Linked DNA regions of Notamacropus eugenii. The protein of the gene in region 2 interacts with the protein of the main gene of each other region in a biochemical or structural test. Links are inferred from orthologs where the notes say so. Each region holds a gene or a part of one and is shown on either strand. Other genes may lie near its edges.

The links.
Region 1: the proteins of ACVR2A (region 2) and SYNJ2BP form a complex in vitro, tested with the Homo sapiens proteins (2 studies listed by BioGRID and IntAct, with this or other methods). The link is inferred for Notamacropus eugenii from reciprocal best matches to the Homo sapiens genes ACVR2A and SYNJ2BP.
Region 3: the proteins of ACVR2A (region 2) and ERBIN interact in a test that uses a peptide from one of them, tested with the Homo sapiens proteins (2 studies listed by BioGRID and IntAct). The link is inferred for Notamacropus eugenii from reciprocal best matches to the Homo sapiens genes ACVR2A and ERBIN.
Region 4: the proteins of ACVR2A (region 2) and BMP2 form a complex in vitro, tested with the Homo sapiens proteins (3 studies listed by BioGRID and IntAct, with this or other methods). The link is inferred for Notamacropus eugenii from reciprocal best matches to the Homo sapiens genes ACVR2A and BMP2.

What each region holds. Positions count from the first base shown.
Region 1 is NC_092872.1:297,624,767-297,632,752, forward strand, and holds the start of SYNJ2BP (synaptojanin-2-binding protein), read right to left. Parts: upstream 3,014-7,986; 5' UTR 2,949-3,013; coding exon 2,885-2,948; intron 1-2,884. UniProt on the Homo sapiens protein: Regulates endocytosis of activin type 2 receptor kinases through the Ral/RALBP1-dependent pathway and may be involved in suppression of activin-induced signal transduction.
Region 2 is NC_092876.1:283,052,137-283,059,794, reverse strand, and holds the start of ACVR2A (activin receptor type-2A), read left to right. Parts: upstream 1-4,655; 5' UTR 4,656-5,334; coding exon 5,335-5,389; intron 5,390-7,175; exon of another isoform or gene 7,176-7,194; intron 7,195-7,658. UniProt on the Homo sapiens protein: On ligand binding, forms a receptor complex consisting of two type II and two type I transmembrane serine/threonine kinases.
Region 3 is NC_092875.1:320,993,706-321,001,263, reverse strand, and holds the start of ERBIN (erbin), read right to left. Parts: upstream 3,014-7,558; 5' UTR 2,875-3,013; intron 1-2,874. UniProt on the Homo sapiens protein: Acts as an adapter for the receptor ERBB2, in epithelia. By binding the unphosphorylated 'Tyr-1248' of receptor ERBB2, it may contribute to stabilize this unphosphorylated state.
Region 4 is NC_092872.1:578,456,813-578,464,463, reverse strand, and holds the start of BMP2 (bone morphogenetic protein 2), read right to left. Parts: upstream 3,014-7,651; 5' UTR 2,886-3,013; intron 1-2,885. UniProt on the Homo sapiens protein: Growth factor of the TGF-beta superfamily that plays essential roles in many developmental processes, including cardiogenesis, neurogenesis, and osteogenesis. Induces cartilage and bone formation.

The DNA.
Region 1 (7,986 bases), on a different chromosome or scaffold from region 2:
TATTGTGCTGTAATAAGTGACTAAATGGATTAAATCCCTACAAGTAAACAGCTAGGAATTATTCACTAATGGGCAAGTGACTTGCTATAATACAGAAGGAAAAGTTTTCCATACATTGTCTACTCTCATCTATGAATTAATCTGCCCCACTTCATCCGTGCACGTGCACATACACACACATGCATACACACACATGCACACACACACACATCCCAGATTACTCACTTCCCCTCTGCATCCATTGGGAACTGATTCAGGAAGAGAGCACAAACAAACAGAAGTCAGGAGCCCTGATTTTTTTTGTCCCATCTATGCCAATAACTTGCCGTGTGACCTTGAGCTAGTCACATTTTCCTGGACTTCAACTTTCTTATCTCTAAAACAAACAAATTGGATAAGATGATATCTAAGGTCCCTTTCCAGCTCAAAAATTAATATTAGTCAGTTTGTGACATCTGCCTCAAAATCAAGCTGGAACAGACTCCAGGTCACCGCTGGTAATCTGCAGCTATCTGTAAAATTAACTATGAACTTTCAGCAAAGCCTCTGGGGCAAATGTTGCTAGCCCTATTATCATTACCCAACCCAGGTCCCTTTAATTTTCTCCCTTAAAAATCAAAATCCCACCCACTCCTTCTGTCTTTTCCTTTCTTAATAGTCCTGTTCCCTTGCCTATGCCTTTGGTCTTCTGAAGCCACTGCTTAGCCACTCTATGGGCACTGATTGCTGAAAATTCTGTAAATTCATTCCAGACATCAATTCCCATCCTTCCAGAGTAATGGTCTCCCAAGTGGGGGCTGTGGCCTGATTCCAAGAAGTATGGGATCAACCAATCAGAGGGCTGATCCCAATGAGATCCAATCTTCCTGCTTCTGAGCCCAGCATGGGTCCTTCTGGGGAGTTGTCATCTAACCACTACCTAGTACCTATAGCAGCAAGTACTTAAACGCCACTGAAAAGTTCTCACCACCACCCCACCCCACCAGCATACCCATACCCTGTCCCTAAAATCATTTCATGGCTTGGGCAGGCACTGCTGGAGAAGATAACACCAAGTTATCTTCCTGTTATGTTCCAATCTTCACTCTCCCTCACTCCACGTATCTTATTAACAAGTCTTGTCATTTCTACCTCTTCATTTCTCTTAATGAAGCCACTACCTGAGTTCAAGCACTCTTCACCTCTAGACAGAATTACTGAAATAGTTTTCTACTTGGTCTCGCCTTACTGAATCTTACACACAACTACCCAATAACTTCCCTCAACTCAATAAATTCCAGTGGCTCCCAAATGACTTTGGGATCATATATTACTTCATCTTTATCTTGCCCTTTCAAAATTTACATTTTCATGCAAGTTTGATAGCATAATTATTATTATTACTTATTATAATATATAATAATGTAATTAACATAATATATAATAAAATATATTATATTATATTGTATTATTACATATTATTATTTATTACTTATTACAGCAGTACATGCATATAATTTGTAAATAAATATACACATATTGGGAATGTATGCTTGATTTTTTTTCCTATGGATAGCAGTGTGCAATTCAAAAAGTCTAAGAGACCACTGTCCTAGAGAACCAATACCTTAATTTTTTTCCTGAAAGGGTTGTGCAATCCAAACAGTCTAGACCACTGTCCTAAAGTACTCCTATCTTAATTTTTTTTTTTCGGAAAGGGGTGTGTAATTCAAAAAAAAAAAAATCAAGAGACCACTATGCTAGAGAACCAATCCCTTCAGGATAAGGAGAACATACAACTCTGAACCTCAATAGGAAGTTCATGAGATAGGGGCGGGACCTTTCTGGAGAGCTTGCTGGTTTCTAAAGATCTAAGAAAATCAGGCATAACCATCTTTCTAATTAAAAACATCCAAGTCTACCGTGTGCAGATGCAAACATGAAGAGCCCAGCCGTGTGGGGCCAGGCACTGGGCACCGGGCACCGCCGCGCCACCTCTACGCCCCTGCCCCTGGGAGACTCCTCCGAAGAGCCGCCGGCACCGCGGGCTCACTCGGGCCTAGGGGGGGCTCCAGTGACTGCTCGGCCGCCACACGCCGGCACTCAGGGCGAGGCTGCGTGCGCAGGCGGGTGGTCGGGCTGCGGGGGGGGGGGGGAGGGGAGGGGTCGGGGGTGGGGAGAGGGGAGGAACGGGGGGGGGGGGGGGAGGGGCAGGGCCCGCCGCCCCGCGAGCAGCTGACCTTGGGCGGCCGGCTTCCTCGTCCCTAACCAGCTCGGGCTGCCCTAGGGGCGCTTTCAAAGCGCCTGGGTCCACGGCAAACCTGATTAAAAGCGCGGGGGATCGACTGAGTGACTCAGTCGCTCTACACACTCTTAATTAGTAGTGGGACTCTTTAAAAAAAAAAAAAAGAATTTATACAAGGGGGCAAATGAATTTTCATGCTAGATTCCAGAGAACCTCGGTAACGGAGATTTTTAAAAATAAATATAAAAAGCTCTGGAAGTTGAGGGCCAAGGCGATGGGGGGGGCCGCGGGGGGGCGATGAGGGGGCCGGAGGGGGGCGGGGGGGGCGGGGCGGCCGCCGCGGGTGAATCGCCAAGGGCAGTACGCCTCCCACCTTTAATCCTCCCTCTCCCCGGAGGCGCCGTGACGCACGGGCAGCTCGGCTGTGCCAGGCTGCGGCCAGGGCAGGGGCTCCTTCCTCAGCCAAGGGTGGACGCCAGGCTACCAGCAGATCCCCCTCCACGAGCGGGAAGGGGTTATACTGATAAGAGGCCCGCGGCCCGACCAAGAGGAGGCTGGGGGTCGGCGTGGGGCTGAGGGAGACTTCTCGTGGCGTGGCGGGAAACCTCAGGCGGCCCCTTTCCCCCCTCCCCCATCCCATCCCCAGCTCCCACCAAGTACCTGAGGGTCCTCGGAAAAGATTAATCTCTTCTTCCGTGACCAGATAGTCCACTCTTCCGTTCATACTTTACGCAGGGCCCAGGGTTTTCCTTCCCCCGACCGGATTCACCCGCCCGTCGTGTTCACGGGACTGAAGGTGAAAAAAAACCCAGCTGCAGCCGCAGCACTTTCGGTTTCATCAGCCTCCCCGGACAGGAAGGGGCGGATGGGAAACACCGGGAATTCTGGGGAATGTAGTTCCCGGGCTTGTCCTCCTCCTCCCCACCCCCACCTCCCTAGGCTTTGCACTGTGGGTGGCTTTGTTGGGAGGGGCTTTCTTTGTTAAGTGAGAGAAGAAGCACCAGTTGCTAACGGGACCCTGTACATCTGTGGCTCACTTTATCCTCAATAACACATTGGGGGATTGATTCCCCAATAAGACTGGGGAATTTTATAGGCGGGGAAACCAAGGTTGAGCCTGTTAGTTGTTTAATAATGCCAATAAGGACAGCTAACATTCATCTATTTCTCACTCTGTGCCAGGGTGTACTAAGCACTTTACAGTTATTATCTCATTTGAGCCTCACAACAACCCTTATTAGCCCCATTTTACATATGAGGAAACTGAGGCAAGAAAAGTTAAGTTACTGGTGCAGGGTCACTTACTTAGTGTCTGGGACCAAATGTGAACTTAGGTCTTCTTGATTCCTGGTCCAGTGGGCAGGGTACCCTAGGCTCCCACATCACTCAATACTGCAGTGAAGGGCCTTGGTTTCCTTATATGTTAAGAAAAAAAAGGATGCCTTAACAGGGTTGTATGAGGTCCAGATGATCCATTAGACTGTAAACTCCTTGGTGGCAGAGGCTGTCTTTGGCTTTTTTTTTTTTTTTTGTATCCCCAGTGCTTATTGATTGAAATGTTTGTTAGGGAAAAGGGAATAAGAATATAGTGTCAGATGCTTTACAAATATTCTATCCCTTGATCTTCACGGCCACACTAGAAAGTAGGTGCTACCATTATACCCATTTTACAGTTGAGGAAACTGAAGCGAAGTTAGGTGACTCGCTCAGGGTCACACACCTGTTTAGTGTCTGAGACCATATTTAAACTCTGATCTTCCTGACTCCAGGCCCCAGCGTAGGTAAAACCTTAAAGCTCAATAGAAATGTTAGCTGTTCACATAGTAAACATTTAGTGCTTGTTTTCTGAATTTGTTTCAATTAAATGTTTAATCCTATAAGCTATTGTTTGTTGATATCTTTTAATTTTACATCACTCTTGTTACCCGAGCCATCCTTAATGACAAAAAAAAAACAAAACAAGAATCACTATTGATCGGAGAAATGCAAATCAAAACACCTCTTAGGTACCACATCACACCTATCAGATTGGCTAACATGACAAAACAGGAAAATTATAAATGTTGGAGAAGATGTGGGAAATTGGAACACTAATGCATTGTTGGTGGAGTTATAAACTGATCCAACTATTTTGGAGAGTAATTTGGAGCCATGGAACTATGCCCAAAGGGCTATAAAAATATGCTTACCCTTTGACCCAGCAATACTACTTCTAGGGCTGTATCCCAAAGAGATCAAAAAAATGGCAAGGTTGTACAAAAATATTGATAGCAGCACTTTTTGTGGTGAAAAAGAATTGGAAATTGTGGTCCATTCCATTGGTTATAATTCTTTACATCATGACTAATGTGAAGATATGTTTAATATGAATGTATATGCAGTGTTGGGGAGGGGGGGAGAGGAAGAAAATTTAAAACTCAAAAGCTTGTGGAACTCAAATTTGAAAACTAAAAAAAAAAGGAAAAAATAGTTCAGGAAAACTAACCAACATATGAAACGGTCGATATTATAAGTAGTGTTTTTGACACCCATAGTTCCTCCACCTGGGAAAAAAAAAAAAAACTTGGAGGGAGGAAAGTACATTCTCATATCTCCTCTTTGGAGTCAAATTTGGTTATGGTAATTTCCCAGCATTCAGTATCTTTTTTTTTTTTTTTAAATAATGTTTGTTGACTAACATATTATGCTAGAAAGCTATTCCAGCAGGACACTCAGCTGGAAAGTCTTTAAATATGGGCCTGTGACAGCCTGTGTCAATTGTCTTAGGACCAGCTTAGATAAATTTAGAGAGGCTTATCCCTAGAAAATTGACCACCAGCTGATTAATTGTTTGGCCAAAGCAGCCCATGTAACCATCTGCTAAGGAGCCTATGGTTGAATTCAGTATGACTGGAGGGATTACCCAGAGGAGTGAAATCAAAGATTCTTAAAACTTAGTAAAAAGCCAGATTGTCAGAACACTGGCCCTTTAGCCTGGTAGAGGAAGCCTATCGTAATGGATAGTGTTCTGATTTCTAACCTAGTGGTGGTTTGGATGTCTGCTTCAAATCCTGGCTCTGCTACTTAACACCGTAGTGACCCTGGGCAATAACAACCTCTCCCAGGCTCAGTTTTCTCTTATTAAGTGGTGATAATAGTAGCAAATACTTTACAAGATTGTTTTAAGACTTAAGTGAGGTATTTTATTAAAGTGTTTTGTAAACCTACTTTGCTTACCATCACAAAATGACATACATATATGTGTATATGTATACATATACATATATTACATATACATACATATACACATACATATATACACACATATATACATACATGTATATACATAATCTAATGTAATCTAACATAAGCCCTAATCTCTCCTGAGAGACATAATCCTTAACTATCAATTATCTGCTATGCATCTCAAACTCAGCATGTCCAAAACTGATCTCAGACCTGGGCTATAAAACCCCCCAAAGTAGTTACCACTCTTATTCCAAATTCAACGTGTCCAAATCAGAATTCATTCTCTTTCTCCCCAACCCTACCCCAAATTTCCCTCTTCTCTTGAAAGCACCAGGATTCTTCCAGTCTCCCAGGTTTGTAACCTTGGCATTATCCTTGATTCCTCACTCTCTTTCACCTTACATTCTAACCAGTTACCAAATCTTGTTCTTTCTACCTTTCTGTCTCTCATATCTGACCTCTTCTCTCTACTCCTACAGCTGAACACCTTAGCTCAAGCCTACAGACTATTACAACACACTCCTAATGGGTCTGCCTGCCTTAAGTCTCTCCATCCTCCATACTGCTGTCAAAGTGGTTTTCTTCAAATTCTGATCTGATCATATCCCCTGCTCAGTAAACTCTAATGGCTCTATATTGTCTCCAAGATAAAATATAAACTGTTATGTTTAACTTTGAAAGCCCTTTGCAACTTGGCTCCAGCTGATCTTTTCAGCTTCACTAGACAGTACTCCCACACTCTGTAATCTAGTCAAACTGGTCTTTTTTCTATACACAACATTCCATTTCCTGTCTTTGTGCATCTGTACTAATTGAAATGCAACAAAAAATATTAAAACAGAGTTGAAATATTGAAAAAGAAAAGAAAGCTAAAGTAACTGACTTAGAAAGCAGATCACAGAGATTCAATTTAAGAATCACTGGACTATCTGAAAACCATGAGCAAGAAAGAGAGGGAGGGTTAAAGGAGAGAGACGCAGAGACAGAAACAGAAATATTGTAAATCATATTCCAAGAACTCATGAAAGAAAACTGTCCAACTGTCTTAGAATCAGAGGGCAAAGTAAAAATAGAATCTACTAATCACCTCTTAAAAAAAAACAAAACACAAAATGAAAACTCCCCAGAGTTTTAGCCAAAATCCAGAGCTTCTAGATTAAAGAAGAAAAAAAAAAACAGGCATGTTGTCAGAAAGAGTTAAAGTACTAAGAAACCTCAATCAGGATCATACAAGGTTTACCATCTACTCTATAAAGAACTGTAGAACAAGGAATCTAATATTCCAAAAGGCAAAAGATATAGGCTTGCAATCAAGAATAATTTACTTAGCAAAAACTGAGTGTAACCCTACAGGGGAAGAAAAATGGGTCTTTATTAAAAAGCCTATGGCATTACACTACTGCTGTTTTTTTCTGTTACACTACTATTTTATAGGACACTTCCAAGCATTTTTAATGAAAAGCTTAGTAGAAATTCTGAACTGCAAACACAAGATCAAAGAGAAATATAAAAAAGAAGCAGCTGGAAAAGACTTCATAAAGAGGAAGTGTTTACATTCTAATGAAGAGGGGGAGAGGATAATATAGGCATCCCCTTAGAACCATGATGTTATAGAGTTATATATAACAGGGGTTACAGAGGGAGTCAAAAAAGATGAAGTATCTAGGAATGATTTTTGTTTTGTCTTGACAATCTTAAAAGCAGCTATGAAAGGGAAGAGAGGAAAGGAATGGAAGGTGGTAGAGGGGGTTTACCTCACATAAGTGAAGTGACAGAGTTGAAGCTTACACAAAACAAAGCAGAGGTGAAGGGAGAAGGCATCACTTGAACGTTGCCATCAAGATTTAAGTGAGCCAGAACCAGGAGAATGATTAACATTTTAATTAACAACATTGTAAAAACAATTTTGAAGGACTTAGGAACTCTTATCAATGATTGCACTGATCAACCAATTCCAGAGGAATTAAAATGTTCCCTCCTAACAGGGAAATGATGTGGGGGAACTGAGGGAATTAAAACACCAAGTGGTAGTGGGAATTGAGTGAACCACACTTACTCCATCTTGTGACTCAGTTCTGGAGCTAGCTCAATTCCCTTTCTATTCAATTGTGGGTCTAATCTAGTTTCTGTCTTGTGAGAAAACTTTATTCATCATGGGAATTTGGAGAGGGCTTTGTTGCATTCTTTGAACCTAACCTTGCGTTGGACAACCTCTATGTGCTGCTTGGAGACTCTTAACTAAGGACCTTGGTCATGCTGACCAGATATCCAGTCTAATCCAAAGACTGATGCAAGGAGTTTTCTCACAATTATACATCTGGAGCAATCCATATGCCCTGCCCTGATCAATCAGGTATTGTTTCCATGTTCCTTTGATTGTTTATAGACAACTTGGGAAGAGTGGGATACTTTTTTCTAATTTCAGAGAATTGCACCTATTTGCTTTCCCCTCTCAACTTATTCCCTAATCCTTCCTCTAAATAGAAATCAGATTACCTAATTTTGTATCATGGTTAATTTTCTTTTAATTAAAT
Region 2 (7,658 bases):
CTTTTTGACTGCTTGCAGTATTTTTTTCTTTGACCTGGAAGCTCTGGACTTTGTTATAATGTTCTTGAAAGTTTTCATTTTGGGGTTTTCTTTCAGGACATGACTGCTAGACTTAAAAATTTCTGTCTACTTTGTCCTATGGTTCTAAGATGTCTGTGTTGTTTTTATGATTACTTGCATGATCTTTAGACTTTTTCGTCTTTCAGACAAACCAGTGATTCTTTAATTTTCTAGCCTCAATCTGTCTTTCAGGCTAGTTGTTTTTGTTAAGCGGTATCTTTTATTTTCTTCTACTCTTTCAGTCTTTTGATTTTGTTTCTACATTTCTTCTACATCTCATGGTCCATTCTAAGTTTCAGGGTATTTGTAACTTGGTCAACATTTTGTACCTCTTTTGGTACAAGCTGATAATCCTCTGATTCTTTGTTTCATAACCAGTTTCTTTTCCATTTTTTCTCTCTGGTGTTTTCATTTCATTTGTAAAAATATTCTTAATTTTTAAAACATTGTTTAATCTTTCCTAGGAATTCTATTTGAAATTCATGCCCAAAGTTTTTATTTATTTATTTGAGACTTTGCCTGGAGATGTTTAGGAGTCATTCCTTCTGTGCTTTTCTTGAGTGTCCCTATCACCAAACTTTTTATGGTGGGATTTTCTTTTTGTTTGCCCATTCTTTCATCATTCTTTCTGACTTTGGACTTTATGTTAGAGATCTATGAACTTCAAAAGGGACCAGCTTTTGGAGCTGCTTTATTGAGGTACAGTGCTATATTAACTCTAGCAAACTTTCCATGCTCCCAGTCATCTATGGCCAGGGTAAGTCTTATCCTTATTCTCTTGATCTGATCTCTCTGAGTTACTGTATTGGGTTTGGATCTGAGTAACAGGACTGTGGGTTTGCCTCTGGAGTTTCAGTAGACTGCTGTTGGACTCAGTTACTATGAGCCTGGTTCAGTGACACCAGTAGGGTTCCCTTTGGTCTGGGATTCCTGTCCTGGGTCATTCCTTTGAACACTTTATGCTGCAGTTGGAACTTAGATTACGGATTCGTTGTGTTCAGAGCCACACAGCTATTATTTTCTTTTGAACTTGTTCCTTATTCAGTATACAGCCTAGGGCCTGAAACCAGTTCATATCTTGAAATGCTACCCCTGAGCATGGGATCCTTCCTCAGTCAGCCCTGGACCTATGAGTTGGAACTAGATAGTGAGCAATGGAGTTGCCATTTGGAACCTTTTCCCGTACCTTACATGATATAGTGGTGCCCTTATCATGGTTCAACTTTAGGTTCTTAGGTGCTGGAATGCTCCGTGTTGTATCTCATAGTAGCCAGACTCCATCCTCTTTTCTACCTTTCTTTGGTGATCACAGCTGGAAAAATTTTAACTTTTAGAAATTTTATCAGGATTAAAACTGGTATGTTTTTTAGATCTTTTTGGAGTTTTTTTGGGGGGGAGGGGAGAGCTCACTATACTTCTTCCTGTTTCTTTGCCATCTTGGTTCTACCCACTCTATTGCCATTCCATTTCTTTTTCCACAAATCTGCACTTGGAACTTCTATTTTCTCCATATTTATTTATTCCTCAAGTTCTTGTAATGTGCCTTTTTTTAACCACTTTATTGAATCTGTTCTCACAAGACTATATTGGACATATCATTGGTAGACACCCACATTCAGGAAGAGGAAGATAAACCAGTGGAACTTAATAAACCATTAAATGAAAAAGGACTGGTAGTTAGTCACTGTAACCTGGAGAAGGTCATATGAAGAGAATATCCAATAAAGGTGCTTCAGAGAACCACTGATATTTTTTGAATGTGGGAAATATTCAGAACTATTCATTAGGAAAACTATTCGGTAATCATTCAACAAGCCTTTATTAAGTACCGCTTATGTATCAGGCACTGAAGATACAAAGACAAAAAAATGTAATGTTTTCTGCCTTCAAGGAGCTTACATTCTATCAGTGAAGGTGACAGGTACATATATAAGTATGTATATATACATACATATATACACATACACACATATATAAGTATATATACATATATAAGCATATATATTATACATATGAAATAAACATAAGATATTGTGTAGGGAAGCATTAGGATCTTAGGGAGTTAGGAAAGGCTTCCTATACAAGTGAGCATGTGAAATGAAGCACTAAGGAAATTAGAAGCCTTGGAGGTAAGGAAAGAGTTCTTTTCTGCCAGGGGAAACAATGTGCAAAGTCTTGGAGACAGAATGCCAGTCTGAACTGGAGATTCTGTGATGGAAATATAAGGATGGAACAGTAATAGGTTGTGAGAAGAAGGATGGTTAGTCAGGAGAAACTAGTCAGTATGGCCACTTAGGAGGCAATAGTGAAGGCAAGATCTGATAAGGATGTCAATGAGCACCTATTAAAGTACTCACTATGTGCCAAGCACTGTGTCAAACTACAACTGCAGGTGGAACTTAGATTATGGATTTCTCTTATGTTCAGAGGCAATAGTCAGTCAATAAGCATTTATTAAGTATTTATTATGTGTGAGGTGTGGTGCTAAACTCTGGGAACACAAAGAAAGGAAAAAACATTGTTCCTATGAGCATACACTTGAATGGGGGAAACCACCTGCAAAATAACTAAGTACATATAAGATAGAGAAGTGGGAGATGGGACAGGAAAGGCCTCCAGCACATTCTGGTACTTGAGTTGACTCTCCAGCAAGGTAAGGGCAACTAAGAGGGGAGAAGGGAGAGCATTCCAAGTAGAGAGGGCAGCCAGTGCAAAGGCATGAAGTTAGGAGATGGGAGAATCATATGCAAGGAACAGGAAGCAGGCCAGTACAGGTAGATGCTAGAGTAGACAGGAATAAAAAAGAAAAAGTCAATTTGTAAAGAGTTTTAAATGCCAAAGATTTCAGTTTCTCTCCTGTATGACTGACTTTTCCAGGCTTCTACTATCATTATTCAGCTGCCTTCTCACCCTGGAACTTCCTTCCCTTAGCACTTGTGCCCTTCTCACTATGGAATATCCCTCTAGAATTCTGGCCTCCCCCCGTTGGTAAATTCTTTCCAGGTAAGCCTCCATTTAGGGAAGTGCCCCCACCCTCCTCTCTCCATGCTCTGCTTTTGACTCTCTGGATTTTGACACCCTACTCCTTTGTATTTCACCACCATCCCCCCACAGTAGGTAACTTTGACAGAGGCTGCCTCTGACCTTAGGAGGATTATTTTCGGTCAGCTGGTAGGGACAAGTTAGACTGCAAGACACTGAGAAACGAACAGGTGGAAAAAGGGGAAGGCATTTGAGTGTCAGCTCCTCTTGGTAGCAGTCCGGCAGTGAATGGGGAAGAGAAATAGAATAACTTTAAAAGGAAAGTAAGGTCAAGGGAAGGGATATTTACGATAGAGGGCAAGAAATCATTTCTTTTCACTTTTGTCTCAGCACTCCCTACTTCTAGAATAGCACCGTAAAATAAAAAGTACTGACCAGTATGGAAGGACTGTCACACAGCCAGCGAAGGGCAGACAGGATTCAAGCCTGTCAGGCAGCAGTGACAGTCACGGTGCTTCCACCAAGGATGCCAAGACCAACCAGGTGCTTAGGTAAACACTATGCACAGCAAGTAGTAAGAGCCTGAGGATAAACGAGGGGGAAAATAAGGAAAGGATAGCAGATTCAAGGTGCACGTCGGGAGGGCTTAGATTCCACTCCACCCTCCAACACTCCTGGCCTTATATAAAGGTTGTGAAATTCTACAGTGCTTAACCAGAGGGCTCCACCTTCCCCATTTCCCCCTCTAAACACACGAGAATAACGAGTCGGAGATGCCTCCCGGCCGTGGTACCTGCTGCACACCTGCTAGCGCTCAATGGTGGCTGGGTGCGCGGGAGCCAAAGGAGGTCCCTTGCACCCCGCGGGAAGGCAGGCAGATACCTGGCACAACGAAACACCCGGGACAGGCTCTCCCCCACCCCCGGAAGGGCGCCGGATGTAAGGGGGTTGCCAATGGGTCCGCCGATCTCTGGGTCCGGCGGAACCAGGCCCACCCCTCGGGGTAGGGCTTCCAGTCCCCATAATCGGCCCTAGACACCGCCCCTCGGGTCCCCAGAGCTGACGGCCGGAGTGGGGGGCAGGGGGAAGCGCTGGGCCCCATTTGCGGCATCTGGGCTGGAGAGACTTAGGAAAAGCCCAGGGGGTGCCGGAGCGCAGGGCCACTTCCCCCTCCGCAGCAACAACTGCAGCAAACGGGTCAGGGGTCGAGGGGCGCCCGCGCCTCGGTCTCGCGGGATCTCTCCGCAGACCCACGGCGTCGAGACGTCGCGGTATTTGAGTGAGAGGCGGGGGAGGGGAAGAGAGAAAGGGAGGGGAAAGAAGAGGAGGCCAGGGCAGGGGAGGCTCCCGGAGGGGAGGGGGGCGGACCGGTTCGACTCCTTCCCCCTCGTCAGTTCGACGGAGCCCCGCCCCCCGAGCTCCGCCCCGCCCCGCCCCCTCCACCGCCCCGCCCCCCCTTCGCCTCGCTTTCCGCACCCCTCCTCCGCCACCTCCCTTTCCTAACCATCTCCTCTCCTTCCCGGCCCCGGCACGCGCGCCTGCCGCGCCCGGCCGCCACCGGCCGTTCCTCGCCCGCTCCTTGCTTTCCTGCTTTGGGCCGGAACCGGAAGTTTGGGGGGCGGGGCGCCAAAGGGGAGGCCGGGGGACCGAAAAAACTCGGCCGAGCCCGGAGCCGAAGCCCTGGACACGGCCGCCGCCGCTGCCACCGCGACCAATCGCTACGACCGCCGCCGCCGCCGCCGCCGCCGCCGGCGTCGCGTCCAAAGGGTTCCCGGACTTGGGGCGTCCGGGTTGAAGGTCGGTGCGGACATCGGACTGGAGTCCACGATCGCCGGCCCGTCCGGGCGGCCGCCGCCGCCGCCTCCTCCCGCCTCTCCTCCTCCGCCTCCGCCTCCTCCTCCTCCCCCTCCTCCTCCTCCCGCCTCTCCGCCTCCTCCCCTCCGCTGGCGTTTTGTTCAGCGAGCTATGAGAGGGGAGACGAGTTGACAGTGATTTTGACAGTGATTTCAGCCTGCTGTGGTCGGGGGTGCCTTTTTGATTCTGATTTCGAATTACTCCGCACGTTTTGGGGGCGTGCGTGCGCTGCGGGGCTGGGGGTTGTTTTTCTGTGTCTGGTGTCGCCTTTTGTTGCGGCTGCTGCTGGTGTTGCCCACCGTGGAGCGCCTGGATCGGGGGAGCTCCGGCTATGCCCTATGACGGCTGACTGGACCCCGGGGGGTTGGCTCCGAGGAAGACCCAGGGCGCCGGAGAGCTCGCCAGAACTTGCCTCGGATCCCCCGGTGCCTCGGGAAAATGGGAGCCGCCGCGAAGTTGGCGTTCGCCGTCTTTCTCATCTCTTGTTCCTCAGGTAGGTCCGACTCGGGCGAGGGTGCTGGCGGGGCTGGGGACTGCCGAGCTTCTCCCCCTGCCCGGTTCGGTGGTGACCCGCCAGCCTCCAGAATTGTTTTCATCGTTCCGAGTTCGCGTGGTTTGCTGACATGAGTGAATGCTGTTTCTGTGGCCGTAGCGTCGGTGACAGCTTCTGTAGGGTTTCCATTAAGCCGCAAATACCGCAGGTGACATTTTATGTAAATGTTTGAAACCTGGGAGGGCGGATGCCAGAATCGGTGGCTTCATTGCGAGTGCAAGTCTCGGAAGGAGTGTTTTTCGATGAGTGCATCTTGCACGAACGTTGTGGTAGCCCTTAGCCAACTGCTGCTTCATTTTAGTGGCATAAGGAACATTGATCTGTAATCCATAACCTATCCTTTCAACTCAGTCTCCCATCTTCAACTTCAGTGGCCAGCGGTGTTAAAAACATAGTTGCTGTGCTGAGAGTAATTAACTGGTGCTGTATGCAGAGGATGCATTTAAGCGGTGTGTTATGGTAATGTGCTGGGGTTTGGAGCACCATTTGTGAGTGGAGATCTTGCTCACCGACCAGAAGCTTCTTGTTTTAAAACTCTTTGCTTAGAGGTATTGTTTTCTGAGTAGGAAAATTGCCTATGTAAAATAACTCATAGTCAAAAAATTGAATTGTTTAGTGAGAAGGTTTTAGGACTGATATCAGTGGTTGGAAGGATGATCTAGCTATTTTTCTATTTGAAATTTTGATTTTGAGAGAATGTTTTATGGTTGCAACCAGTGGTTGGAAAAGATGTCTAGTCTTTTATATTCGAAAATCTGTGAACGTTGTACTATAGTCTAAAGGTGTGCATTCGCATACACTATATATTGAATAGATTAAATATACTTTAAAATATACTAGATTTGTTTACCGTAACATCCAGCACTTAATTGCGTAGGTTGTAAAGTGAAAAGACTATTACATATCTGTCATTTGACAGTTGGATTTTTGTGGCCATATCTTAATCTTACTTGCCATAGGGGGTGGTAGTCATTTCTTTGTGTATCTCTCTCTCTCTCTCTCTCTCTCTCTCTCTCTCTCTCTCTCTCTCCACACACACAAACACACAGAAACACACACACACACACACACCCTTTGAATTCTATAGGATTTTGCTGAATGGTACATTTCCTTGTGGTTAATAAATGGATAAAGTCTAGTCTTGTGTCTGTAGTGGTATTGATCAGTTCCGGGTGGGCTGAATGTGCTGTGAAATGGCGATCATTGCCAGAGATTAACCAAAAGAATCATGTCTGTTTAAATGGAAGAAGGAACGTGCTTAAGGCAGGCTGACAGCTCTTTTTTGTGCATGATTTGGGAGGGAAGACGAACAATGGCATGGCTAAAAAGAATGAAGGCCTCGCTAACATTAAATCTTTTGCTCTTGCTTGCAGAGTGCTTTAATGTTGTGATTTTTATTTTCCCCAGTACTCCTATTCCACCCTCATATCCTCTGGTTGGTGTATTCCTCTTGTTCTCCTTGAGGAACCTTCTCTTGAACCCCCTTTTCAGCTCTCCTACCTTCAAGGAGGAGGAGCATGACTGCCTCTAACTGCCCAAGGAATTGTGGACCTTACTCCATTCCAAACCCACCTGAGTCACACTAATTGGTGAACAAGGTTGTTCTTGAGCAGACATAATGCACTCCTTCTGGAATAAGGAGGCTTGCTGTATAGCTCTTGCAGCTTTCTCCCCTTAGCTTGGGAGCAAGAGAAGAGAAATTGAGCAACGGTTTCCCTGTAAGATCATTTTCACTAGGCCAGCAGGTAAATAGCCATAATTCTGCTGCTGTAGAATGTTTCATTTGCAATAAAACTCATAGGAAAAAAGAATATAAGTACTGCATAGCTTAAAAAGAAATTCTAAAGATCTAGTCTTTTAGTAACATTTGAGCAGTTTTATAACTTAAAATATTAGATTTCTAAAGGACTTATTTTATCAGCTAGATGTGCTCTGAGTATATTATTGTTGCCCCTGCTGTTGATGTTTATCTTTGATATCTTTGTTATTGAAATATTTATAATTATTTTTCTTTTTAAAAACTTTTTAGTTTTTCAGATTCATCTTTCTTGGCTAGTGCATGTTCTATGAGTATTTTTTTTTTTAAATAATGAGCAAAAGAGAAGAAAACTTATTCTACATTAGATTTTCTGTTAGATGTTTTCTTGAGTCTCACAAACTTCCTTATTTAGTTTTTCTAAATATTTATATGTTTATACACAGATATAAT
Region 3 (7,558 bases), on a different chromosome or scaffold from region 2:
CACAGATTCAGAGCTGCAGAGGACCTTAACAGTCTTCTAGTCCAAACCCCTCCTCATTTTAAAGATGAGGAAACTGAGGACCAGAGAGTTTGGAAAATTTGCCAACAATCATACAAGTTGTAAAGTGGCAGAGCCTAAGTCCTTCTACTCCAAATACAGCACTTATTCCACCACAGTATGCTGCTTCCACCTTCATTACTAAACCCAAGACAACTAAAACCACAAAATCAAAATTTGGCTTCCACACTTTGGCATAAGCTTTTTCATGCACTCAGATGTTAAGATGACATCATCTAAAACTGCAAACTGTTCTTTATTACTTAACACTCAAATCACATAACTAGCAAGTGGAAGAAAACATTTAAATTTTCTATTTTCAACAAACCAAATAAAAATCACCAACTGTATTTCATGCACTATAAGCAAAATTTTCAGGGATGTATGTCACTGATCAAATACTGCAAAAGAGATCTAAGTATTTATTTATATACACACACATTTGACCCACTGCAGACAACTGATAACAGTATTTAGAAGAAATGTAATTTTTATAAATACATTCACACAAAACAAGCAAGAATCACAAAACGCTAAAATGTAAAGATGAAAGGAGACTTAGAAATGATCCAGTCAGGCTCCTTCATTTTTACAAGTATGGAAAAAAGTCTAGGAAAGTTAAGTGAATTGGGATTGTGTCTACTCTCTATTTCTAGGCTGTCAGAAGAAAACAGTCTCATAAATTGATCAAACTAGTATCCAACAAGCTTAATGGACCTATGGAGTTCTAAGATCTATACTTATTGAGGGAATTATGTTTTTATTAAAGAAATAAAGGAAAATAGGCAACATGACTAAGGAGCTAGTCTCAAGGTAAGACCTGTAATTCAAGGCAAGCCTTGGACACACACTTGGCTAAGTGACTTGGAAAAAATCGTCAGTGGTCCAGGAAATTCTACAGACTATAAACGCAAAATAATGGAGGTTCTGCAATGGTACACAGAGTCTCCTAACAGAAAGGGGGGGAGGGGAAGGGGAAAGAGATAAGCGACATTTATTCAAATAACACTAATAACATCTAGTTTAAAATTTTCTTGACTCAAAATCTTGAGTCTTTATTTGTGGCTCCCCTGAGAGGAGATAAACAAAAATTACATTAAAAAACGAAAACTGGTTCACAGACTTATTGCTTGATGTAACGATTGTCTTCTGTAAGTCACTAAGACAGAGAAACAAAACTTTGAAATGTACTCTTTCTTTGTAAGAGGCCTGCTGCTCTATTTAGGCTTTGTTGCTCTTATGCCAAGGAAGTGCCATATAAGGAACCTCAAGTTCAATGTCATTCATTTTGCTTAGTTTTTTTCAGATGTCCAGGAATAACCTCTTCAGCTAGCTAATAATACAGTTGTGCATTTTATATTCCTTGAGCAAGCTGGTTTGATTTAGTACTTACTTGCAGAACTAAATAGCAAGAAAATAACTACCTGGAGAAAAAAGACTCTGACAAAGGCCAACTTAACATGTAGTAGTTAAGTTTTTACTATCTGTCTTTTTGCATTTAATACAGATCAAAGCTGTTAGGAAGAAGTAATAATTTGATAGAGATAGTTTAAACTTGGACTTTCTTCTTTCCCTAAGGAAGCTACCATCTTTTTCAACTGCCACTAATTATTTGAGATCTGATAAACTAAACATCAACTGATATTATAATGGGAAATTACCTCCAGAATTTTCCTTGCACTCAAAAAGACAACTTTTTGTTCGTTAGCACCCTAAGTACTACAGACAAAAGTTTAACTATCCTTTCACACTAACAAATTCAGATATGCTGAAATACAAGAACCAACTGATAGAATCTGTGAAGTCTACTAATTGTTTTTAACACTTAGACTGAACTAGGTGGCCTCTGATATCCCTTCAGATTTTGTGACTCTTTAAATCAGTTTACAATTAATTTTTGCCATGCTTTTTAAGTTCAGCCTCCAAATTAAATTTGATCACAACACTTACTAAATAGAAATCCATTATATAATAAGTATTTGTGTCAAAACGATAATCCTCAAAAAGTCAAGAACAAATACCAGAAAGTTGTGTATAAATGTGTACGGTGGCTGTCATGCAGATAAATAGTATCAAAGTCTTATCAACATAGTTGCAGGTGTTTTTCAAAACTTACAAGTTCCTCTTTACTCAGAACAAGGAATCATATCCCTTATTTCCGTTCCTTTCTAAACTGGGCACTAACAGGAAAAATCAGATTAAGGTAATTGTCTTTTTAATAAATTTGTGAAATAAAGACTTTATCATACGGTTCTGCAAAGGGCCAAAATAAACACCCTTTCTGGAGGACAGGAAAACACAGGCTCAATCTTCCTGAAATCGCCTTCCACCCCATCGCTCCCCCAACAAGAACCAAGGAGTTTTGGGGTTTGTCACTGCGTTACACAGCCAGCAGCCTTCACCTCCCCGAGAACTTCACTTCAACGCCCTCTACTAGTTAGCAGTGTAAACAAACGTGGCGGGCAGTCCACGGCACACCACCCCACAGCGACGTCTTCCCGACGGACTGGCAAATCCAAAGTTGCTAGATTCGGTTCACTTAAAACAAAAATTTTAGGAGAATGCATTTTGGGAGCGGCCAAGTGCTTACCTACTTCGGGACCTAGGGGAGAACAAAGGAACTCTATGTCCTCAAGAGCCTAAAAAAACAACTTTGGGTTCCCCACTTCCCCTTTTCCCCCCGATAATGCCAGACCGGAGGGTGGACTGCAGAGGCAGCCCCGATATCTCACCGATCCAGGGCTGCCGGGCTTCCGATGGGAACAAGGACAGAGAGATGCAGCCCCTGCTCCCCGCCCCACGTTCGCCCCCATTTACCTCTCCAGAGTTCTCGGCCTCTTCTTCAGGCTCCCAGCGGAGACATGGTGGGGGTCCCTGGCTCCCCAAGACGCCGCTAACCCTCCATCCTCCGCGGGGTCTTTTCTCTCGGGGAAGGAGGAGGTGAATGGGGATGCCGGGCGGCCTCTCTCAAGAGGAAGAGGAGGCTGGTTTCGGCTCTGGGGGCACAAGCGGGGCGTTGCAGGCCGGTTTCCTGGTCTCAAGTTTTGACACGAGTTTCCCAGCCTCCCCAACCAGGATCCCCCGAGGAGAAGGGGAAGGCAAAAAAAAAGTTTTCTCTCGTGACACCGCCCGGAATTACTGCGTGAAACTCACTTCCTGCCCGGGCGGAGAAGCTGAATCCAGGTCCACTCAGGGGAACCCGGAAAACAGGCTCGACCTAAGTGGGGAGCAGGAGGCAGGCGGCAGGGGGGAGGGGTGTCTGTCTGTCAGCCCCGCTGCCGCCGAGGACCGTCCGAGCTCCGGCTGCAGAGATGGACGATCCAAAGGCAATCCTGCAAAGCTACCCGTGCGCTCGCTGGGCTCCCAGGCGGGCGGGAGCCGACGACGCGCCCCCTCCAGACCCCTCCCAGGCCCGGCGAGCGAGGCTGCACTGCGCCCCTTCCTCCTGCTGCCGCCGCCGCCGCGGCCCTCGCTAGGCCACCTCCTGCAGCCGCCGCTGCCGCCGGGTTATTGTCTCGATCGCGCCCGCCGCGCCCTTCGCCCGCGCTGCCGCGGCCGCCCCCGGGGTCCCGAGTCCAGGGAGAAGAGGGAGGGGGCAGGCACGAGGGCCGGCCCCCGGCCCCGGCCGTCAGTCCTCCCGGCTCGGGTTCTCCGTCTCCTCCTCCTCTCCACCCCCCTGCCCTCGCCTAGAGCTTGCGGTTTCCCGCCCGTGCCCCACTCCCGGAGCCCCGGACTGCTGTGGCGGAGGAGGAGGCTCCGCGACCGCGGGCGGGGTGGGAGGGAGCGACTCGGGCGACGACGCCGAGTTTAACACCGGAGCCGAAGCTGCCGCGGCAGCCCCGCCACATTCACTAGACACCGACCGGAGGGGAGGGGAAGTCGGCGGAGGAGGGGGGAGGGACCGGGCTGGGGCTGAAGCAGGAGGGGAGCGGGGCCTCTCCGGCTGAGGCTGGCGGGGACCTGGCGGCAACAGCGCCCCCCAACCAGGACGAACGAGAAGACACTGCGCACAGCGAACTCGAGCAGCGGAGGGGGAGGGGAAGGGGGCGGGTGCCAGCGGCCTCCAGCGGACTCTCACCCCAACTGCCAGCCACAACGGAGCGGCCGGAGGCCGGCGTGACGACCCAGTGGCTCATCTCGGCCTCTGGGGAGAGGAAAGGAATGAAAGAAGCCTCCCTCGGGGAAGGAGGGGGGGTGAGGGAGGGGCCGCCCGCGGCCGGTTCGAGGGAGAAGTGTGCTGAGGGAGAGCCGCGAAATGGCAACAGACCAGCGTGCGCCTCCGCTGGGCCCTCCGGAGCCTCGCGGCGATCCTCGCAAGGATAACTTTTTTTTTGCATAAACCCAGCTCCCCTCGGAGGGCTCCTCCAGGCCCCCAGTTGCAACGAGCATCCAAAGAGCCAAGTAGTGAAAGGGCCCCGGGGGCGCCCGACCGGCTCCTCTGGGAGCCGAGCCAAGTGCTTGTATTTTCCCCGGGTCTTCTCCTGGGCCGCAAGCTGCAGGCCCCGGGTCTCGACCACGCGCCCCGCCGGCCCTCCAGCCTCGAGTGGTGGAGGCGTGCATCTGCAAGGTGTGAAGGGGCAGGGAAGGCTTCCTTCCAGCCGGCAGTATTCCTTTCAGCTGGAGCAGTCCTGACTGCCTGCCGTGAATGCCACACTCGGGCTGCACGGAAGCAGCAGCTCTGGGTCCTTTCCGGAGCGGGCCCCGCTTTGCTGCTCGGCTGCCCCGAGAGCAGTTCAGCGGAGGCGCCTCCGGGCCTCCGGCTCCGACCGCCCGCCAGACCAGACCGAAGCCGGGATGGGGGAAGGCGGCTCCAAAACTGCTTTTGTTGTTACCCTGTGCCTTGGTGAGAAGGAGGATTTGGCGCACTGCAAACAGCTGCTTTCTGTGCTGCAGCTGCTGGATTATGTCTCAGCTGTATGCAGTCACACAAAACATCTGCATTTATTATTAAGGGAGATACTAAAGCATTCAGTGTCATTGCATCTGGAAAAAGCGAGAAAGCCTCCACCGTAGCAGTGGATTGTGTAGCTTCTTGCATTGTTTGCCTCTTGCTTTTGATATGTTAACAGACTAAGAGATGATCTTGTTTCACTACTGAAAAGGAACAGAAAAAGGATATATGGGGCACATTTTATCCCCAGCCTTCAACGAAGCTGCCTCCTTTCTATCCTCTAATTTCCGGGCCCCTGAAGTCACTTGTCTAACCAAACGTTGCATATGACAGGGAATTATTTATTAAAGAGTATGAATAAAAAGTCCTATACACTGTATTATCGAATAGATGGCTTTAAACTTTTATCCAGAAAGTACACATAAATTGTCCCCAACAGCTTATTTACCAAAGTGAATGTTTACGATATAAAAACACCCTCGATTAAATTTATCTTCTATGTGTCCAAAACATTAGAGTGGGGGCCGTTATAATTTCTGGAAAACTACCAGGATTAACAGATTATTTCACTGATCTAGAACTGATTTTAGAGGGGTTTAAAGAAAAACTTGGTAAATCTCTGGTCCCTGGGGAGTGTTTCTTTTTTTTAAGGGTTACAACTTAAAAAAAAAAGCTTTACTACTAAATGGCATCTTAGATGTCAACTTATCCAACTTCCTCATTATACAGATGGGGAAACCGAGACCTGAGAGGATTTGCTCAATTTCAGATAATACATTTTCAGGACCAGAAAAATCCCTGGTCCCCTCATTGCAAATCCAGCCTTTCCCCCCACAATATACTTTATCATTTAAGGTCACATAGGGAACATCGACCTTGCAAGTCAGAGATCCAGGTTTTACATGTTTCTCTGGCATTTACTATCCATGTGACCATGGACAAGTCCTGAATTTCAGCTTCTGCTTCTATAAAATGGAGATAGTAACATTTGCACTACTTGCTTTATAAGGGATATTAAGAAAAACATTTTGAAAGCTGTTACATTAATGTGAATTATTATAGCATACCAGGAACTAGAACTGGTATCTCTTTTTAAATTTATTTTTATTTCATTAAATGTCTTCCAGTTACATGTAAAAAAGATTTAACAGTTTTTTTAATTTTAAGTTCCAAATTCTCACTCTTCCTCCTAATCCTTCCCCCTCCTTGAGAAAGCAAGCAATTTAATTTTGATTATACGTGATTATAGGTTATTCAAAACATATTTCCATATGAGGGGCAGCTAGATGGTTCTCTAGTGCAGGAGTCAAATCTCACCTTAGAGGCTTGACACTCACTAGCTGTGTGACCTTGGGCAAGTCACTTAACCCCCAATTGCTTCATCCTGGGTCATCTCCAGTCATCCTGATGAATAACTGGTCACTGGATTCATATGGCTCTGGAGCAGAAATGAGGCTGGTGACCTGCACAGCCCTCCCTCACTCAAAAAAAAAAAAGTCAAGTGCAAGTCATGTCATTATTTCTCTGATGGCATGGTCTTCTTCTACAATGAAGGATGAATACACATTTTCATATGAGCCATGTTGCAAAAAGGAAACACAAACAAAATTTAAAAAAAATTAAAATAGTAAAAAGAATTGTGCTTCAATCTACATCCAGAGTACATTGTCTCTCTGGGGGTGGATAGTGCTTTTCATCATGGGTCCTTTGCTGTTTGATCATTATCTTGATCAGTATAAGTTGTCTTTCACTGTTGATCCTCCTTATAGTATTGCTGTTACTGTGTAAATCTTCTGGTTCTGCTTACTTCACTTTGCATGAGTTAAGAGCTTCGAAGGTTTTTCTGAAACCATCCTGCTCATTATTTCCAATAGCACAGTAGTATTCCACCATCTGTATCTTTTTTTAAAGAGAAGCTTTCAAGTCCAGGAAGCAGCTGATGCATACCATTAACCCAAGGCTAGGTTCCCAAGTATATCATGATTATGTCAAGAGACATAATATAAAGGCTGCATAATAATATTTATGAAGTGCTTTAAGGTTTGCAAAAGGCATTCCTCTCTTCACCCCTACAAAGTAGTGTAAATATTATCCCCTCTTTACATATGGGAAAACAAATTCAGATAAAATGGCATACCCAAAATCATGCATGTTTGAGACCCAAGATTTGAACCTAAAACTGTCCTGATTCTCCAAGTCCACCTTGATGGTTAAAATATTTCCTGGGATGGTAAATATTTACTTAATTAAGCTTTAGCTCATCCTGGATCTCTAAAGGCTGATGAAATTCTGACCCATACTTAATAATTGTGATTAGAATTATAATGGTTCATATGGGATCCTGTTCTACTCTACATCATCCCCATTTCAAAGGCTTTAATCTTTCCAAAGGAGAACAACCTGATTTAGAATCTCTAAACTTTGGATTAAGTAGACCTAAAAATCTCATTTATCTTACACCCAGTAGTACCACCTTTCAGAATGTTCCTGTGGCTGCACCTATGGAAAGTATGAGGGTCCTGTGGTTGCAATTCTTGAAACAAGTCTAGAGAGGAAAATCAACATGTTCAAGAACTCAGAAGCCCATAAGTGGGAAGACTGGAACTTAAA
Region 4 (7,651 bases), on a different chromosome or scaffold from region 2:
ACCCAAGTTTAGTAAGAGTGGTATACCTGACACTTTTGCAGGAGGCAGACCTCTTTGTCCAAGATGGCATAGACATAGGAAGAGTGAAGGCCTAGCATACACATTCCCTCTCATAAAAGAAGTCTTAAGAATTCCCAAACAGAAGGATCTGAGAATACATATTCCATAACAAATGACGTATCAATTACTTGCTGTGTTCAATTCATTATGCTAAATGATATAGATACAAATATAAAAATGAAATAAGGAGATTACATTCTTCTGAGGAGAAATGCTATATATATACAATTAAGTAAAATATAACGTGACAATGGACAGGTGAAAGGGGGCAAAGTTGAGATTATAAAATAAATGTTTGAGGGTGAAACCATGAAAAATAGTTGAAGAAACAGGGAATATTTAGCCTGGAGAACGGAGAATTAATAGAAAGCTTTCTTCAAATATTTAAAAGCCTAGAATGTATAATCCTCTTGAGGAAAAGGATTGCCTTATTTATATTTTTCTCTATTGTAACACTTTCCAAAGTATATTTCATGTACCCAGATCTGTGATTACAATAGTCTCTTATATGGATGTAGCACGACAACTCTCTTATATGACCTTTGTCCGCTTCTTCTTGTAAGTTTACTACAAGAAGTCTATCTAATGGTATGGAGGGCCTTCTTTGTTTTCCCTTGACATCACAAGCCTATCAGTGGAGCCCTATGGCTATCTAATGATCATGTGTCACTCTTACCATTGACCTATCTTCTTTTCTCCTTCACCTAAAAATTTTTCTTTAAAATATGGTTTACTTTACCAGTGCTTCAGAGTATGGAAAACTATGTTACACATAGTAACAACTTAATATTTGTTGAATAAAGGCATGCACAGATGTAGAAGAGTTGCAGCATTTAAACTGTGTAAATCCAGAGGATGGCACTAGGACTAATAAAGTACAGAGAGATAGATTTTGGCATAGTATAAAAATATTCTAACATGTATTACTACATAGTATCAGTAGCAATAGATAGCAGGCTGTTTTATAATCTCCACATGACTGGAGGTATTTAAGGAGAGGTTGGATAGTCATCTATCATGGATGCTGAAAAGAGAATTCTTGTGCTATATGAGAAGTATGCTAGATAATGACCTATGAAACTAGGATTCCCTACATCAGGTGACTGTTATTCTGTTTTAACTATTTTCTCCTGAGTCTGGCAACAAAATACAGAATAAGTGGAGATACGGAACATTTCAATGACTCATAAACTCAATTTTTAGAATCACAGGAGTCTCAAATCCCAGGAAGAGCCTTTACAGCTAAGCTCAGACCACAGGGATACATACTGAAAAGAGACCTATCGAAAGTAATAAGTTCAAATGTTCTGGCTTCCTAAAAATATTTGCCAAAGAATGCCTTTGTCCTAGAATAACAAATTTCTCACGCAAGAAAAAAAAAAAAATTCCCTTCTTTCATGAGTTGTTCTTTGATTAGGAAATGGCTTAACTAATATTTGTGCTAGAGCTCCACCATTGTTTTGCTTAGCAAACTCACACTTACCCTGGAAGGTATCAACAAAAATTATTCATTCCCTTCCCCCATCCCCCTGTGCCTTCCATCTCCCCAACTTTTGGTGAGATCCCTTGCAAATTTCCTGGAAAAAATAATTTGCCTGTGTTCTACAGGAGGATCAAGATGAGAGAAATCCATAATCAGTGTTAAAAGATCTATCAAAAATAATTTCAACTGTTAATCAAATACGGTTATCAGGTACGATGGATATTTTAAATACTAGACTAAATACCAGGCTAAACCTTGTCCAGCCAAATGTAAAATAGGAAAGGGTTTTCTTTGGCTTCTTTCAGCTTCTTTTATGCCCTTCTCTCCCTCCCCCCCCCCCCCCCCATTCTCAGGTTTCCAATATTCCTATGTTCTTTTCTTCCCTCTCTCATCAAACTCTACTTCTAGGGTCGTAGAATCCTAAATATAATTCTGGAAAGGATTTCAGAGGGCAGATAATCCAGCTTCCTCATTTTATACACACACTCAGTTTTGCCTAAGGTCACAAAGACACAAAGAGGTAAAATTTAAACCTAAGTCCTCTGATTCCAGAATAGAAAGTAGGTAGCCTTTGACACCATACCAGGAAAATGGGTGCACGCACTACATATGGATAAAACCATCTCTGATTCAGAATTGTTTGAAGAAATAGTCTCTAAACAGATGTAAATACTCAGAAAATTGGTTAATTTTTGTTAAAGTAACATTAAAGTTTCAATCAAATTAACCGTTTGCTATCACGAAGCCAACACAATGTAGAAAACGAGTTAGCTTTTATTTGTTTGTTTTTATTTTTAACTGATCATACTGTATATTTTGTCCACATGTGGAAACAGGTTATCTCAATAAGTATACAGATACACACATACAAAACCAATAACATATCATTAGATAAATTTCTCCTAGTTCTCACAAACGTGTTTTCATCTACCACTGCTTTTTATGGTCCATAAAAAAGAAAAGATAACAATGTGTACCTTTCTAGTAGAGCTCAGCAACTGTTTTTAATCAGGCAAATATCTTCAGTTCCTGTATTACCTTATTTCTACCTTGTCACTTAGGTTCTTTTCCCTCAAGTTTGCTAATAAGTGGCCTTACTTCCCAATCAAATACCCAAACGTCTTTCAAATCTAATAACAACATTAACAAATTAACACAGAGCTAACAGTTTTACTCTCACTTTCTGCTTTCAAGATATTACCAAAATGTACAAAACAAAACATTTCAATTCATGACAAGACTGTTTTTGTCAGTTTATCTAATCCATAATGGAATACTACCATAACTTCCAACCTTCTTACTTACTTGCCTTGGAAATGATGGGAAGGGGGGATGTACTCACTCAGCAAAGGAACATTGTCAGTTTGACAAGGCCTCAGTATGATCTTCACGTGTTTCAACTCTTCCAAAAAACACAGATCAAGCCCCGATCCTCAGCCACAGGGAAGAAATATTACTTTGTGACTTACAAAAGAAACCGGCATGAATGTTGCTCTTGCAATGTGCATATTCTGAATCACCGGCTCTCTCGTCACTGCAAATTAAAAGGAAGCATGTGTACCAATGGTTTTTACTGTCCTCAGAGGAAGAAATATTACTCTCCTTGGTCACACCCACTTCCTTCAAACATAATTGACAATCAGATATCCCCTGGCAAACCAAATCAAAGTATTTTAAAAGATGAATAGGCCCCAGTCTCTCTGATGCCTAACTCTGTAGTAGTAACTTAAATATTTTAAAGAAGACTTTCCATTCCCCAGGTAGCCATCCTGTGCACTAAGGTAAGAGGAACTTTGGGATTAAGTGATGTTGTGCAACAGAGTTCAAGGAAACCTCTTTAATTCACACCCAGCTAATTAACAATTTAGGAATGATACATGAGGTTCTTGCTGAGGAAAAAGTTCAAAGTAGGTGGCATAACTTGGGGCTTTTGTGTTTCTGATATGTCATTAGGTAAAGTGTCTCATTGTTAGTTGTAATAATTTTAAGTATTTATAAATACTTACTATATAGCAAAAGCTATGCTAGGCACAGGGATTAAAATACAAGGTGTCCCAAAAGTCTTAATGCAGTTTTAAGCTTTACTTGACTTTTCCTGTTTTGTTCAGTCATTTTTCAGTCATTTCTAATTCTTCATGACCCTATTTGGGTTGTTGTTGTTTTGATTTTTTGGGGGGGGAGGGAGGGTAGAGATACTAGAGTGGTTTGCAAAACTCTAACTCATTTGACAGATGAGGAAACTGAGGCAAATGGTGTTAAGATACTTGGCCAAGGTCACACTGCTAGTAGATGTCTGAGGCCAGATTTGAACTCAGGAAGATAAGTCTTCCTGATGCCAGGTCCAACCCTATGTTCACTGTACCACCTAGCTGCTTTTATTAGGCTTTAATAAAGCTTAAAAATACGCTAAGATTTTTGGGACACCCTGTGTCCCAAAGAAGTTTACATTCTATTGAGGGTAAAATAGCATTTAGAGGAAACTTGCAAAGGGAAGGGAGTATGGTCTATAGGGCATGGACCTGACCAGGAACTGGCATGGAATTCTGGGTCCCTGGCAAGATACAGCAAATGTTCACCTCTTAGAGCTGAAAGACCTAGGGGCAGAGTCCACATTACCACTGAGGAGAAGATAGAAATGATAATCCAAGAAGAGGATACTGGGAGGTAGTAGAAGACTAGAGGTAAAGGTGAGGCCCAAGAAGAAAAGGCATGGCATGTGATCAGGAAGGGAAATAGCATACTCTGGTAGAAAGGGCACTGGTCATAGGAATCAGGAGGCCTGCGTTAGAGGCTTAACTCTTCCATTAACCAACTAGATGAACTTAACCAAATGAGTCTCTCTAGTCCTCAGTTTCTTTTTCTGTAAACTTAGGATGTTTGCTTCTTCCTGCTTGAAATACTATGACTTGGTAATTCATATTGCATTAATTCACTTACATATTTAGACATGATTTCAAAAAATCTTCAGACATTCTATAATTCAACTTATTCATTCATTCAAGCAAGAATCAGAAAGATCCTAAAGAAAGCTACTTGAAACTTGTTTGTAGCAATGTATACATCTAACCTTGATTCTAACCTCAAGTTGATTTAGTCAGATGAAAAGTATGCTACCTTTTGTGGGCCTTGACTTTTACTACTTGGTGAGGTCAAAGATGGTCACTGTAGTGACCACATAGGAATTTTTTAACTTGTCAATATGTAGGGAAAAGGTAACCAGTCAAAGATATTCATTATTCCTTCTGTATAACAACTATCGTCACAGGTGGAGGCTGCATGCTTTTATACTAACAAAAAGTAGACAAAAGTCAAGCCAAAGTAAACAGAGGGAAAGCAAAATGTTCATCAAAAGTCAACAAAGAGATAAAATAATGACTTCAGCTACTCTGTAGGCCCTATTACCTTCCATGCGATGACTGTAGGACTTTTAGATGAAATTCCCCTTTTGTTTCCAGGAAATGGCTTCATTACTTCTAAATAAGGATCTTCCCTTTTGCTTCAAATATGTCTGGTCTTACAGTGGCCAAGATGCTTTGTTTTCATTCCAGCCTAAAGAGAATCAGAAGTATGTGACAAATCCCTCATTTCTCAATAGCATTAAGAAATCTTCACAGGAACTGTTTTAATTATACTCCAGGAAACTGACATTAGGGATATGTTTTGGGAACTTGGAAGCAGTTTCCAAAACATCGATAATTCATGTTGGTCGCCTTGGTGCTCTCTAGTAACTCCTTGTATTTTCGACTGACATATTCAAGGATTCAAGATTTTCAGGAGAAGTGGTTAACTGCAAGATTTTGCCAGAGAAGGGCCATAATTTCAGAAATAGTGGCATGCTCTGTAGAGACAACATCTCATTTGTATGTGAGTATGTTTAAGGGAGTAGCTTTTAAAAATTATATATCTATATAAATACATATATAATTTTTAATATGTGTCCCTCATCAAAATTAGGGTGGTTTCCTCAGTGAGAATAATATAAAATCAACTATACTCTTCATTTTGAAAAGATTACTGAGAAGGTCCCTGCTGTTACACCTCCTCCAATGGGTACAGTGAAAAGATGGCTGAATTTTAAGTCAAAGGACTTCAGGTTAAATCAATGTTATGCCATTTTTTCTACCTGTGTAAGAACAGACAAATTACTTAACTACTGTGCATCTCACTTTCCTCATATATTAAATGAAATGGTTGACTTTGAAAGAAATAAGAATTCTGATTAATTGATTGACCAACCATGACTTCTATAAATTTACAATGGAGCGTACCTCCTGCCTCTTGATAGAGAGAGGTCAGACAATAGCTATAGAATAATACATAAATTTTTGGACATAGCCATTACAACACAAATTTGTTTTGTTTGACAGTGCTTTTGATAGAAGAGGGAGCCTTATTTTTTTTTGGCAGGGCAGGCGTTATAGAGTTACATGGAGGGGGGGATTGTAGTGTTAGTGATGCCATTAATAAAACATTTTACAATAAACAGAAAAGGGTAGTAGGAAGTTCAGAAGAGAACACAGACAAGCAGGAAAATGTCGATACTACCACATTAAGTATAATAATTAAAATAAAGAAGCTATTCATACTGGATTCATAGTTTCAAATAAAATCATCATTTTCTGATCTTTGTATATGGAAATTTTCATATTATTTTCTAGTTGACAATAATTTAATAAAATAAAAGGCTGAAACAGATTATCTCTATTTTTAAAAATCTTTTTTAAATCTATGATTTTAAATCTCTAGTTTTAAATTTATGATTCATCTTGACTTCTCATCCACTACTAATTTTTCATGTATTCGCACATAATAGGATATGTCTATACACAGAAACTAAATAAAAAAGAAAACACTTTTAATTATCAGCTTACCTACAAAGTGCACCATTAGAGTTTGAACTCCTTCTACTATGTCTTTGCATCCTAGTTAGATGCTGCCATAGCATCTTGCACATAGGAAATATCTAATAAGTGCTAATCAACTTGGATTGCATTGCATTGAATTTGATTGACCTACCTGTTACGTTGTTATTTACATATGATATCTGCCATTCTCAACCATATAAGCAACTATCAATTATCTACTTATAAACTATCCAATTGATATATCATTCATGTATAATGGGGATCTGGCCCATGCCTAGACCACCTAAGATTCTGTCATTCATTTGTAAAGCATTGGGAATCTGCTTCAGTCTGGAAGATGCAGGGATAGCCTGTCTTGGCTTACCATATGGTTTGGAGCAGATTTTCTCTTCTCCACCCTCATTGATTGCATAGCTGGAACTATCTGTGTCTTTAAAACTGCTTGACTAAGAACCATCAGGGCTTTTCATCCATTCCTCATTCTTGTCTGAGGCTGGAGTACTTCTCATGTGCTAATGGAGGAAGGATTGAGGGTCACTTCCACCCACCCCATCAAGGCCATGAGGAAGTGAGAAATGGGCTTAGAATTTTGGCCTTTCCTTATGTTCTTCTCTGTTCTAGGTACAGGGATATTTCAAATACTGGAGTTTGAGCTATAGAGTCCTAAAAGCCCAGGAATCCAGAGCACATGTTGCAGTCAGCTCAGCAGGGCTTTGGGCTTAAAGTAAGTGGGACAAATGCTATATAGGAACTGAGTTAAATTGTGAGCCGAATCTGCCTTTCTTCCCCACACAGTGAAGTGGTAAGTGGGATGGGATATGCCCCAAGATGTTAGGGGGCAAATATTTGTATGTTTGTTCTTGCTGTTTTTGAAGTAAATTTCCCTTCATAAAAGCTAATCAATTTTAAGTGGTTAAATGGACTTGGGGTGCTTTTTCAACAGGCATCTAAAAAGGGATAAAAGAGTTGGTTAGGAACTGATCCAGTGGCAAAAAAGAGAGACACCCCAACCTACATCTAGGTGCTGGAGAACCCACAGGGAATGTAAAATGTAATAGTCCTGGTCCTAAGAGAGTGAGACCAGAATCAAACCAGTGCTACACACATCTAGCACCTTATCAGCAAGGGAACCAATGGGAAGTACAATGTTTTTCCAACTCATTGGAGAGACTGAATGATGTACAGAACAGGAGAGAAGGAAGTGGAGAACTTTGGGTCCTAGAGGGGAGCCAGCAATAGATTG